Linked DNA regions of Notamacropus eugenii. The main gene of each other region encodes a partner of the protein of the gene in region 2 in a complex. Links are inferred from orthologs where the notes say so. Each region holds a gene or a part of one and is shown on either strand. Other genes may lie near its edges.

What was found.
Region 1: FBXL13 (region 2) and IQCD share a complex: the UniProt entries of both Homo sapiens proteins name them as parts of the nexin-dynein regulatory complex. The link is inferred for Notamacropus eugenii from reciprocal best matches to the Homo sapiens genes FBXL13 and DRC10.
Region 3: FBXL13 (region 2) and DRC3 share a complex: the UniProt entries of both Homo sapiens proteins name them as parts of the nexin-dynein regulatory complex. The link is inferred for Notamacropus eugenii from reciprocal best matches to the Homo sapiens genes FBXL13 and DRC3.

What each region holds. Positions count from the first base shown.
Region 1 is NC_092875.1:32,967,832-32,971,579, reverse strand, and holds the start of IQCD (dynein regulatory complex protein 10), read right to left. Parts: upstream 2,857-3,748; 5' UTR 2,194-2,856; exon of another isoform or gene 867-2,193; intron 1-866. UniProt on the Homo sapiens protein: Component of the nexin-dynein regulatory complex (N-DRC), a key regulator of ciliary/flagellar motility which maintains the alignment and integrity of the distal axoneme and regulates microtubule sliding in motile axonemes.
Region 2 is NC_092874.1:152,914,328-152,918,075, reverse strand, and holds the start of FBXL13 (F-box and leucine-rich repeat protein 13), read right to left. Parts: upstream 2,651-3,748; 5' UTR 2,466-2,650; coding exon 2,199-2,465; intron 1-2,198. UniProt on the Homo sapiens protein: Substrate-recognition component of the SCF (SKP1-CUL1-F-box protein)-type E3 ubiquitin ligase complex.
Region 3 is NC_092874.1:335,190,438-335,194,185, forward strand, and holds the start of DRC3 (dynein regulatory complex subunit 3), read left to right. Parts: upstream 1-1,247; 5' UTR 1,248-1,447; intron 1,448-3,748. Other genes in the region: TOM1L2 (TOM1-like protein 2), read right to left, coding at 744-795. UniProt on the Homo sapiens protein: Component of the nexin-dynein regulatory complex (N-DRC) a key regulator of ciliary/flagellar motility which maintains the alignment and integrity of the distal axoneme and regulates microtubule sliding in motile axonemes.

The DNA.
Region 1 (3,748 bases), on a different chromosome or scaffold from region 2:
GGTGGGGGGTGTATGCAAACATATTTTAAGATTCATATACATCATCAACACTTTCTGAAGTCTAGACAATCAACAAAACACCAAATCAAACCCTCTAATTTCTGAGCTGTAAATGCTCATAATTGAAATTTTAGCTAGTTAGAGTTGGTTCCAGCACACTTCTGGACACAGCAGGCAGAAAAGCTGATTTGATTTCAGGTTGTATCAAGAGAAGTTTGACTTCAAGGAATAAGGAGGGGATAATCTCTTTTTCATTTGCTCCAGTCAGATCAGATGTATTGAGTTCTTAGCACCAAATTTTAAGATAGACATTCATAAGTTGTAAAGTGTTCAGGGGCAGCTAGGTGATACAGCAGATAGAATGCTGGGTCTACAGTCAGGAAGATTCATCTTCCTGAGTTCAAACCTAGGACACTTACTAGCTGTGTGAGCTTGGGCAAGTCACTTAAGCATGCTTGCCTCAGTTTCCTCATCTGTAAAACGAGCTGGAGAAGGAAATGGCAAACCACCCTGGTATTCCTGCTAAGAAAACCCCAAATGTGGTCATAGAGAGTAGGGCATGACTGAATATGAACACATGTGAACGAGAGTGTTCAGAGAACGACAACCTGGATGGTAAAAGGCTCAGAGGTTGTTCTATATAGAGACTGGGAGTATTTAGCCTAAATAAGACATTACTGGGGCAGGGGGTGGAGGTGGAATGTAATGACATGATAGCAGTTTTCAGTTATCTGAAGAGTTACTAAATTTGTTTTTGTTCATCCCTAGAGGACAGAACTAGAAGAAATGGATGCAAGCTGAAAAGAGATTTTGGTTCAAGATCAGGAAAAACTTTTCTAAAGGTCTCCTAAAATGTAATGGGCTACCTCAGGAGATCGTGGGCATCCCTTCATTAGAGGTCTTGAAGCAAAGGCTGGATGACCCCTTGTTAGGTCTGGGTAGAGAGGATTTTTGTTCAATGATGGACCCTCTGGTTTCATGACTCTGCAATTCTGACCTCAGAGCTTGTTCCAAGTTCACAGCTCAAAGGATCTTTGAGATCATCTAGTCTAATACCATTATTGTAGAGAGGATGAAATTGGAGGCCTACCAAAACTCAAATGCCTTGCCCAGGATCATATTTCATTAGTGTCCGGCCAGGGTTTGCTGACATTCAAATCAAGGCTCTTTCCATTCCAACCTCATTTGTCTCTTGTTTCCTCTCATCAAGCTCCTCATTCTTCCTCAGACATACTTCTTGATACCCCTTAATTCTAGAACCTTGCATTGGTTAATGATTTCTAATTTATCCTGTATACATATGATCTGGACATGGTTGTTTGCGTCCTGTCTCCCCTATTAAACCACAAGCTCCTTGAGAACAGGGACTCTGTTTCTAGGGATTTCATAATCCCTAGCTTGGCACATTGTTCTTGTTCAGTCATTCAGTTGTGTCAACTCTTCACGACCTCATGGATTGTACTGTTGATGAGATTTTCTTGGCAAAGATACTGGAGAAGTGTCACCGTATCCTTCTCCAGTGGATTAAAGGAAACAGAGGTGAAGTGACTTGTCCAGGGTCACATAGTTAGTAAGTATCTGAGGCCAGATTTGAACTCAAGTCTTCCTGACTCCAGGTCCAGTGATCTATACACTGAACCATCTAGCTTGGCACATAGTAAGTACTTAAAAAATATTTACTTATGGACAGACTGGGAGCAAGATCCAGTAGGTGGAGTTGGAGTTGGCATACTTGCAAAGCTCTCAAATCAAAATCAAATTCAATGGATGGTCAGAGCATATTCGTGGGGCTGGGATCCAGGAGATTCCGAGATCAGTCCCTGTTTTGCCCTTTAACTGGCCCTGTGAGCCTGGACCTCTTTGTGCCTCAGTTTCCCCATCTGTATAATGGAATTGGGCTAGATGGCCTCTGAGATCCCTTATAGCTCATACATTCCTATATGATCCTGGATTCACATCCTGGCTCTGTCTGCTTCGGTCTCAGTTTCGTCCTCAGTAATATTGGGCAGTTGGATTAGATGGCCTCGGGGGATCCTTGCCATAAGAAAGGCACCCGGTGGGGGAGGGGCTGGGCAAATGTTCCTGCCCGGAGGCAGGGGCATGGACTACGTGACCTTTAGTCGCACGAAAGTTCCACCCCTGTCCACTTCATCTTCTCCGTTACCTCGTCCTCTCCGCCACGACCCCACTTACCCGCCCGCGCAGCCGCGGGGCTTCCCTTCCCTTCAATTACTCCTTCCTCAGTTTCCAGAGTGGCCACGTTGCTAGGCTACGGGTAAACAACTCAACCAGACCAACCACATCCGGGGCGGGAATTAGCAGTCGCCACTCAACGTCCGGCATTTTCCATTTGGCCACGACCCTTTACCCCACAGGCTCCAGCCAATCGGAAGCACCGTGAGTTCGATGACTCCGAGACCCCGACTCCCGACAACCAATAGAAAGAGCCGAGACGGATGCACCTTAGGCTGCGAAGAGAGGGAGAGGAGGAGAAGGGGAGGAGACTTGCATGCTGGAGGCGGGGAAAAGAGCAAGGAACTTCCAATAAGAACCCCCACAAGGCCTCCGGAAGAACTAATGAAAAAACGAGGGGAAGCCACCCCTTGAGGCTGCAAGGGGCGGGGAAAGTAGAAGGACGTTTCTCAGAGCCAATCAAAGGATAGGCTACCCCACAAAGGGGAGCCGAACGAAACTGTAATTTTTTTAGCTTTAGGCATCCTTTCCTCCTCCAAGATGCAGAGGGCGGGAAAAAGAGAAAAGCCCAATCAGAGCACCGCAGACTGGGAAGGGGGCGGAGGCTCATTTCGTGCCCCGGAGAACGGAAGGAAAGGGAAGAGGAGGAGAGTCAAGTGGGCGGAGAAAAGGGAAGGGCGTCCCATCCGACCAATCGGAGAGCTGCGGTGTCCGCTCGTGCAGGCGATAGGCCTCCGGGAAAGGGGGCGGGGCTACGACGGGGTCGGGACCGGGCTGGGTGGGGGGAGGTGGAATAGCGGGCGGATGGAAACGGGCTCGCCGGCGGCTGCGGCGTTCCCCTTCTCCGGGGCGGCGAGTTCGGGTCGTGCCACCGGCCCGCGACTCTCGGAGCGGCGTCTCGCAGAAGGTTTGGCTCGGAACCCGATTCGCGATCGCTGCTCGCGGGGGTGTCTCCTGTAAGGACCCAGGGAGAGGTCGGGGGTCGGAGGTCGAAGGGCACAGGGAGGGGGGGCGATGCACCCGTGTAAAGGGGAGGCCAAACGGGCTGAGTCCCTTCCTCCGTCCCTTCTTCTCTTCTCGGGATCCTGGAGCTGGAGATGGAAGGGACCGTAGAGATCTAGTCCATTTTACATTTGGGGAAACTGAGGCACGGGGAGGGAGAAGTAATCTAGAGCAGGAAGGGTCCTCAGTCCATTGACCCCCATCCATCATCCAGATGGGGAAACTGAGGCCGAAGGGAAGGAAATGAAGTGGTTTCTCTAGGGTCACCCAGCTTCTAAGCAGAACGGGAAGAATTCGAACCCAGGACCTTTGGTTCCAAGCACAGCTCTCTTTCTCCTGTTGTTGCTTCCTTTCTCTTTGCTTCTCCCTTCATCCCACCCCACTTCTCCTTTTCTTTCCGGTGTTCTCTCTCTCCTCCACTTATCCAGGACACAAACACAACGCCCTTAGCATTTTTGGGGGGAGGTGGCTCCCAAATCTACCCCTTGCTCTGGAGAGAAGTCACACCCTCTCCTTGTGTCCACTTGGGAGCCTTTGGGAGGTTTAAAGTAGC
Region 2 (3,748 bases):
AAGTTATTATGTTTGATATTTATATATTTAATATATATTATATATAAAGATATTTACAGCAGCACTTTCCATAAAGAAAAAGAACTGGAAACTCAGAGTGTACCCATAAAGTAGGTAATGGTTGAACAAATGATGGTATATGAAAGTAATGAAATTCTCTTGTGTTCGTCCTTTGTTGCCAAAGAAGACCATGCCATCAGAGAAATGATGACATGACTTGCACTTGACTTTGCTTTGAGTGCGGGAGGGCTGTGCAGGTCACCGGCCTCGCTTCTCCAGAGCCATCTGAATCCAGTGACCTGACATTATTTCTCAGGATGACAGGAGATGGGCCAGGATGCAATGGAAATTCTCTTGTACTATAAGAACAGATGAAGGGGATGAATTTAGAAAAACCTAAGAAGACTTGTATGAACTAATGCAGAATGAAGTGAGGAGAACCAAAGCAATTTATATAATAACAATACTGTAAAGACAAACAACTCTGAAAGACTTAATAACTAATCAATGCAATATTCAAGAGGGCTGATAATGAGGCATGCTACTCATCTTTTGACAGAGATAGACTCAAGACGCAGAATGAGACATACATTTTTGGACATGGCCAATGTAGGAATTAGTTTTGCTTGACTATCCATATAATAAGAGCTAACATGTATATAGTATCTACTACATGCCAGGCACTGTGCTAAGCACTTGACAATTATTAATTCATTCGATCCTCATAATCACCGTGGGAGTTAGATGATCTTTTTATTATTCCCATTTTACAGATGAGGAAACCGAGGCAAACTCAGTGACTTAAGTGACTCACCCAGGGTCACACAGCTGGTGTCTACGACTGGCTTTCAGTGTGCCTTACTGCAGGTCCTGTGTTTTATCCACTGTACCACTTAGCTGCCCCCTTGTGCTGCATTCGTCAGAGGATTTGAGAATCCAAACAGATAATGGGTGTAAAGTGCCAAGTCAAAATATAACGTTATCATCATCACCATCATCCCCTCTAGATGAGATCCAGCTAAGCCAAATTACATTTGAAGATAAAACTGGACAAAAGATGATAAACAGAGAAGATAAAATGGATCTACAGGCATTTTCACAGTGATCTCTCTGCATTAAAAACATTTAGATTACAGCATCCCAATGTTGAAAATACCAAGTAATGGTATTTAAGAGGGGGAAGTCAAAACTGGTGGCTGAACCTAACTAAGCACAGAGAGAAGTCTGAATGGCGGACAACACAATTGTTAAAGCACTATGAAGTAGAATTTTAAGCTGAGACAGGGAAAGATTTCAAAAGAATGGAAAAGATCATTAATGGTGCCTTTATAAGGGGAAAAAAGATAAACGAAAAGACGTTCCCAGTTGCTATGTCTTCCTTCTTGTCTGTATAGGGTGCTATGAACACACTGAAGAGATCCAAAATGAAAACATAAGAAGTCAATAGCTACGCTTTCACAAACATTTTTTTTTAATACTAGGCCACATTTTTATGGGAAGACTGCTGACTGAAACAATTAAAATCCACATTGTCAAAATCCTTTGAAAATGTGTTCCAATATGAAACATAACTTTAATTTTATACCAAACCTGATGAGCTTTCAACTGTAAACATTTGTTCCTGTTTAACAAATGAGGAAAGGAACCCAGAGAAGTGATACCACTTAACCACGGCCCTAACAGATGTACAAAGGTAGACCAGAAATCCAGGACTCTCTCTGACTTTTTCCCCACCGTACCACGCTGCCTAAGTCTCCTTCCACTACATTAGGCCCCCTGATGTCACAGGCTAAGTGGGTGGTTCAGAGCAGGGGCTGAGATCAGATCAATAACAGGCTGATCCGCAAAAGGAGAGAGCTCCGTCTTAGGGTTGAAAAGGAATTTTAGTTGTCCTTTTACAAAGGTGGAACTCAGGGGCAAAAAGGTTGTGATTTGCCCAGGCGCAGACGGATGGCACAGCGCGCGAGAGCCGGAGAGGCCGGGGTTCAAGAAAAACTAGGTGGTGGTGGCGACAGAACTGTGGGCTTACGGGGCAGAACGGGGTCAGGGCGCAGAGGGCATTGACTGGGAGGAGGAAAGAGCACGTGGTGGGTCGGCGCCAGACAGGCGTGCGAGGCCCCGGGCAGGGGAGCCCGGCCCCGCCCCCCAGCCCGGCCCGGGTGGGCCGGCTCACGGCGCTCCCGACACCGCCCTGATACCTGGGACCCCTGGGAGAAGTGGTTCCTCTTGTCGAGGGTGGCATCGTTCTGGGCAGGCCATTTTGGGGCCTGCTGGGCGGGCTGGGGCCTGCCCAAGGCGGGTGGGACTAGCCGAGACAGGAGGACAAGTAGGCGAAGGTTCCCGCCCTTCGCACCCAGCACCACCCTCTGCGCTGGAGCAGCTGCCTCGGGGTTCTCTTTCTCCGCGCGTTGCTCCAGGCAACTGGGAGCTGGGACTCCCCCGCCCCCGCGCGGCGATTGGCGCATGCGCGTGTGGCTGGATGGAAGGGACCCCCGCCCAAGCCGGCCTGGCCCGGCCCACCGCGCAGCCAAGCTGAGCTTTGTAGGACAGTTCAGGGCATCACAGGCATGGATGAGGGTGGGCAGTGAGACTGGTCTGGGCCACTCATTCAAGCAACAAGCATTTACAGAAGCGCCTCCGGGGTGCCGGGCACTGCATTAAGCCCCCAGGTCAGGTGCTAGCGTCGGCGTCAGGACTCGAGTTCAAAACCTCCCCCAGTCGGGCCAACTGCCTTCTCTCAGCCTCTGTTTCCTTTTGTGTTAAATGAGAATGGTAATATCGCTCACCTCCCTAGGGTTGTTATGAGGTTCAAATGAGTTAATACATGAAAAGCAACAAAGCTAGTTACTATGTATCTTTTTAAAAATGTATTTGACTCAGCAGTGTGCGGCCCTGAAGAGCATTCTTAGGGAGCTTCCATCCAGTATGCACACATTTAAGGTGTCACACAAAAATACAGAATAATGAGTGGAGGCAGGAGCAACTGGATTTATCAGGAAAGACCTCAAGTAGGAGGCGTGCTTTAAAGGCTGCCAGGGACTCAGGAGGTTAGTGCATCCTAGGTCTGGGGAGTCCTGTGCATAAGTACAAGTAGGCCATCTTGGTTGGACCTTACAGTGAGTGGCTAAAGGGGAGCAATGGCTAATAACCCTGGAAAGTAAGGCTCTGGTCAGGCTGTGAAAAGAGCTTTAAATAAAAAGAGGGTTAAACAGAAGTCCTGAAAAATTCAATTTAATTCCATTCAATGAACTTTAAGCCCCTTCAGTTGCTTAGCCCTGCTTATCAAAGAGTGTTGGGGGAAGCCGTAGTGGGGAGGGAGACACCAAGTTTGCAGTTTTTCTATCCCTAGTCATTCATTTACCCTTATCTGCAAACTAACCCGTTCTTGCTATTCTGGGGAGAAAGGCGATTCAAAGCCGCACTTCTTGTGCTGGGGTGGACCTATCTGGATTACTTTAAAGCTGCCTATAAAAGTTGTCCCCACCTTGAAGCCATGTCTGATCTTCAGTCATCAGCCCTGCTACCTTGACATACTTAAAGTAAATCTTTTCAGTTCTCTTTGCCCTGAGTTTTGCCTCCTTAATCAGGATGAAAACCCAGATGAAGAATTTTCCTTTCAACACTACTACATGTGCAATGCAATGCTAAGACATGGAGGTTAAGGCCTTAAGGAAGGTCAGGCGGGTGGCATGTACTAGAAGCCAAGATTTGAGGCCAATTCTCTTGACTCCAAATCCATTGTCCCTTT
Region 3 (3,748 bases), about 180 Mb from region 2:
GTCCCAACACAAAACTCTGCCTTGGGCGAATGAGCAAGCAGCCTTTTGGTAAAGGATCTGTGCAGCCTTCGCAAACACTTGCCTGTCATCACTCTAGTATCCCTTTCAAGAGTGTCTGAGGTCCCCAGAGGCATTAACATGGAAACTATCGGGGCTGCAATTCAAGCCTCTGCCCTTCCCAGCCAGACAAGCAGATCCGACAGAACGGACCACAGATCTGGAGGCAGAGGAGGCTCAGGGCACAATCTGGCTGAATCCCCTCGTTTTAGAGATGAGAACACTGACCCCCAGGTGGGTCAAGTGATCCGCCCAATGCCACCCAGGCAGCTAAGGGTCAGGGTTAACACTTGAACTCAGGTCTTCTGACCCCAGAGCCGCTGGACTATGATGAGAGAGAGAAGAGAGGGAAGGGGGAAAGTGAGGAGGAGCGGGCACCACAAGGATGGCTCAGGTTGGCAGCGCTCGGAGGACCGTGCCCAGGGCACCCCCCGCTGTCCTGCGCGGACCGGCCTGGGCAGGGTCCTCCCACGGGGCACCCCCCGGGGAAGCATCCGGTCAGCTGGCCTTCTCAGGCACCCACTCGAGAAGACGCGGCCGGGGCCTGGCACGACTCCCTCGTCCGCCCCAGGCCCACGCCACCGCGGCCCGCCGAGCGCCCGGAGAAGGAAGGCTGGGACGGGACCGAGCCGCCCGGAGATGCCGGGCCCTCCGCCCCCACCCCGAAGCCGCCCGGAGGGCCTTACCGAGGCACTGTCCCACCGGGGTACTGAAGGGGTTCCCCAGGAGAAACTCCATCTTGTGAGGACAGCAGCGCAGGCGGCGGAGGCTCCGACCAAGCTGCCCGCCGCCGCCACTGCCGCGTCGCAACCACCCCCTCCGGCTCTCCCGGCCTGAGTGACACTTGCCCCCTTTCCCGAACGGAGAGCTGCGGTCTCCCTGCCCCTCCTGCTGATCTAAGTCCTCATTGGACCGTGCCTCCGAAGCCTTCCACCCATTGGCCGTCGATCGTCCTCCGAGAAGCCCTCATTTATTCCGCGGGCTCTGATTGGTCCACGGGACAGGTAGGTCATTTCAGCTCTCTTTCTGGTCTCGGCCCCGAGTCGGGGACCCGCAATTTGATTCGCCAAAATAGTGATCTATCTAAAGGCTTCTCCTAATAATTGGATTAAAATCGAGGACGTCACCACCGCCTCCCGCAGAGGCGGGCCACTGAGGGCCCCGCCCCCAGAAGGCAGCGATTGGAGGGAGATTTGTTTTCTCTATGACTGGTTGGTGAGAAAAGCATTTTCCCCCGCCCAAAAGTTTGGGCACGTGACCAGTCAACTTTCACCTCGGAGAGGCCGTCATCGGATTTCCCCTTAGCAACCAGACAGTCGCGTTGTCCTCCCCTAGCAACCGGGCACACTTCTTCGAGGCAGGAACAAGACGGAGGCCAGAGCCCCGGCAGGTGAGACACCCAGAGCGGCCTTCGGGGACGGGCCTAAGGACGCGGCCTGGCCTGATCCCCCAGGACCCCTCCGGGACCGGGGCGGAGGGCAGCGTAGTCAGGCCTGGTGTCGGGACCCCGAGTTCTAACCCGCTCCCCTCCCCCACCCCACTGCTGAGCTCTGTGTCGGGTTCTGGGCTTCCTAGGACGCAGTGCCCACAAGTCTCGGTCTCTGGGTCCGTCCGACGGGGACGCAGGCCCCCCCCCGCTGCACCCTGCACCCTTGGTTCCTGGGGCAGGAAGGGGCTTCGGTGCGAACAGGGAACGCCCCGGAGCGAGTGGTCTCACGTCTTGGAGTTAGCGCCATTCGGGGCTGTGATTGTGTGACGTTAGTTCTAGCCTGATGGAAATGTGCAATGCTAATCTGAACAGTGTCTCCTTCCCTCCCCTTCCCCCCCTCTCTCTGTCTGTCTGTCTGTCTCTCTCTCTCTCTGTCTCTCTCCATCTGTCTGTCCTTCCTTTTTCTTTCTCTGCCAACTTTCTACGAAAGGTCTTTATTAATGGACGAATTCTTTTTCAACAAACCCCGTCAGGGGATTCGTTACTTACACCAATCCGAACCTAGCCATGGGTTTCCAGCTATCCTTTCCCTGCAACAAACCTGTGAAGCGGGTAGTGCAAGTATTATCCTCATTTTACAGTTAGGAAAACTTTAAGGAGATGAAATACCTTTCCCGCAGTCACACATCTAGAGTCAGAGCTGTGACTCAGACCCGAAACTCAACCTACTGTAAATCTAATGCTTTTTTCAAAACCCCACTTTTACTTCCTTCTCTCTCATTCCTGTGGTCCTACCAATGGCCAGTCCAGTTCGTTCCAGATGTAACATCAGCTGTCAGTGTAGAGCATAAGATAGGCCTGCTGAAAGATAATCAGGATGGGAGAGGAAAATTGAAATGCTCCATGCCTTAGAGGGGGCTTTCTAGTCCAGGGGAGCCTGTGGCCTCTCAGGTGCAGCCCTTCGACTGAATCCAAACTTCACAGGACAGATCCTCTTAATAAAAGGACCTGTTCTGTGAAATTTGGAGTCAGTCAACGAGGCTACATCTGAAGACCTAGAGGGCCACATGTTCCCCACCCCTGGTTTAGTCCTTTATCCTCCTTTCATTCTCCCTCCTTTTCTTCAGATTCAAGGAAGGTTTAGCTTTAGGGGCAGCTGTTCATAATGGGTTCCACTGGTAGTTTTGAAGATAAATGAATATTTAGGCTCTTTAATCATAAGGGAAATAATTTGCTCCAGATCTCCATTAAACCTTCCCACTATTCTGGGGGAGATTTAAGGGTTTTAATAATTGTAATAAAATTTGCTCCCCTCTACAAGGATGGTGGTCCCTTGACCACCAAGTCAGAACTCAAGAATTTCTTCAGTTCTTCAGTTCTGAAGAATACTTACTGTGTTATGAAAAATTTAGAAAACTCTTCAGGGCCACCCCCACCATGCGGGCCACAGGCAGTGGGAACAAACTCTTTCATGAAAGGATAACAAGGCTTACAAACTACCATGGTGGGGTGGGGGAGTTGGTGACAGAATGGAGAAGAAATGGGAATTATGAAAATATGGAGATATTTTTTGTCTCATTCTGTCTAAAAAGATGGAAGAGGGAAAGGGGAGTAGGAAGTTTGGGGAAGAGAGAACCCGTTAGGGTTAAGGTGTTAAGAATGTTAATTCTACCTTAGCTTGGATTTCTCAAGTACGAAGCAATCACTCAGTTTGGGCTCATCTCCTGCTCTGATCACTGCTAATCACCTCCCTCCAGTGGATGAAAATTCTGCCAGTTCTGGGTGGATACCATAGTGCTGTCCCTCTCTTGCAGTCCTTTCTTGGCTCATTCTCCCCTGCTTAGCTGCCCCTGCCCCAAAGACCCAAGCACTGCTAGGATTTGGGATGGGGGAGTGGCAGGTAGCTGGCACCTGGAAATATAAGGCACAGCATCAAATGCTCATCAGTACATAATAGAACAATGATAATTAATCTAATGTCCCATGTAATGGTCTCAGAGTACCAAGGCATTATCACTACAATATACGCAACAGATAGAACACAATGCAAAGCTTCACTTGACAGGTGTTTTGTGACTACAGATCTAAATTATATGTGAGATATGTATTACAAGCCAAGCATTAATAGCAAAAATAACTACAGTAGGCCTATGAAACAACAAAATTAGCAAAACTACAAACAGAACTAACAAAACTGAGCAAAATTAACAGAAATGTTGCTACAATACAGTCCTAGTACCAATACACAGCAAGGAAGCATAA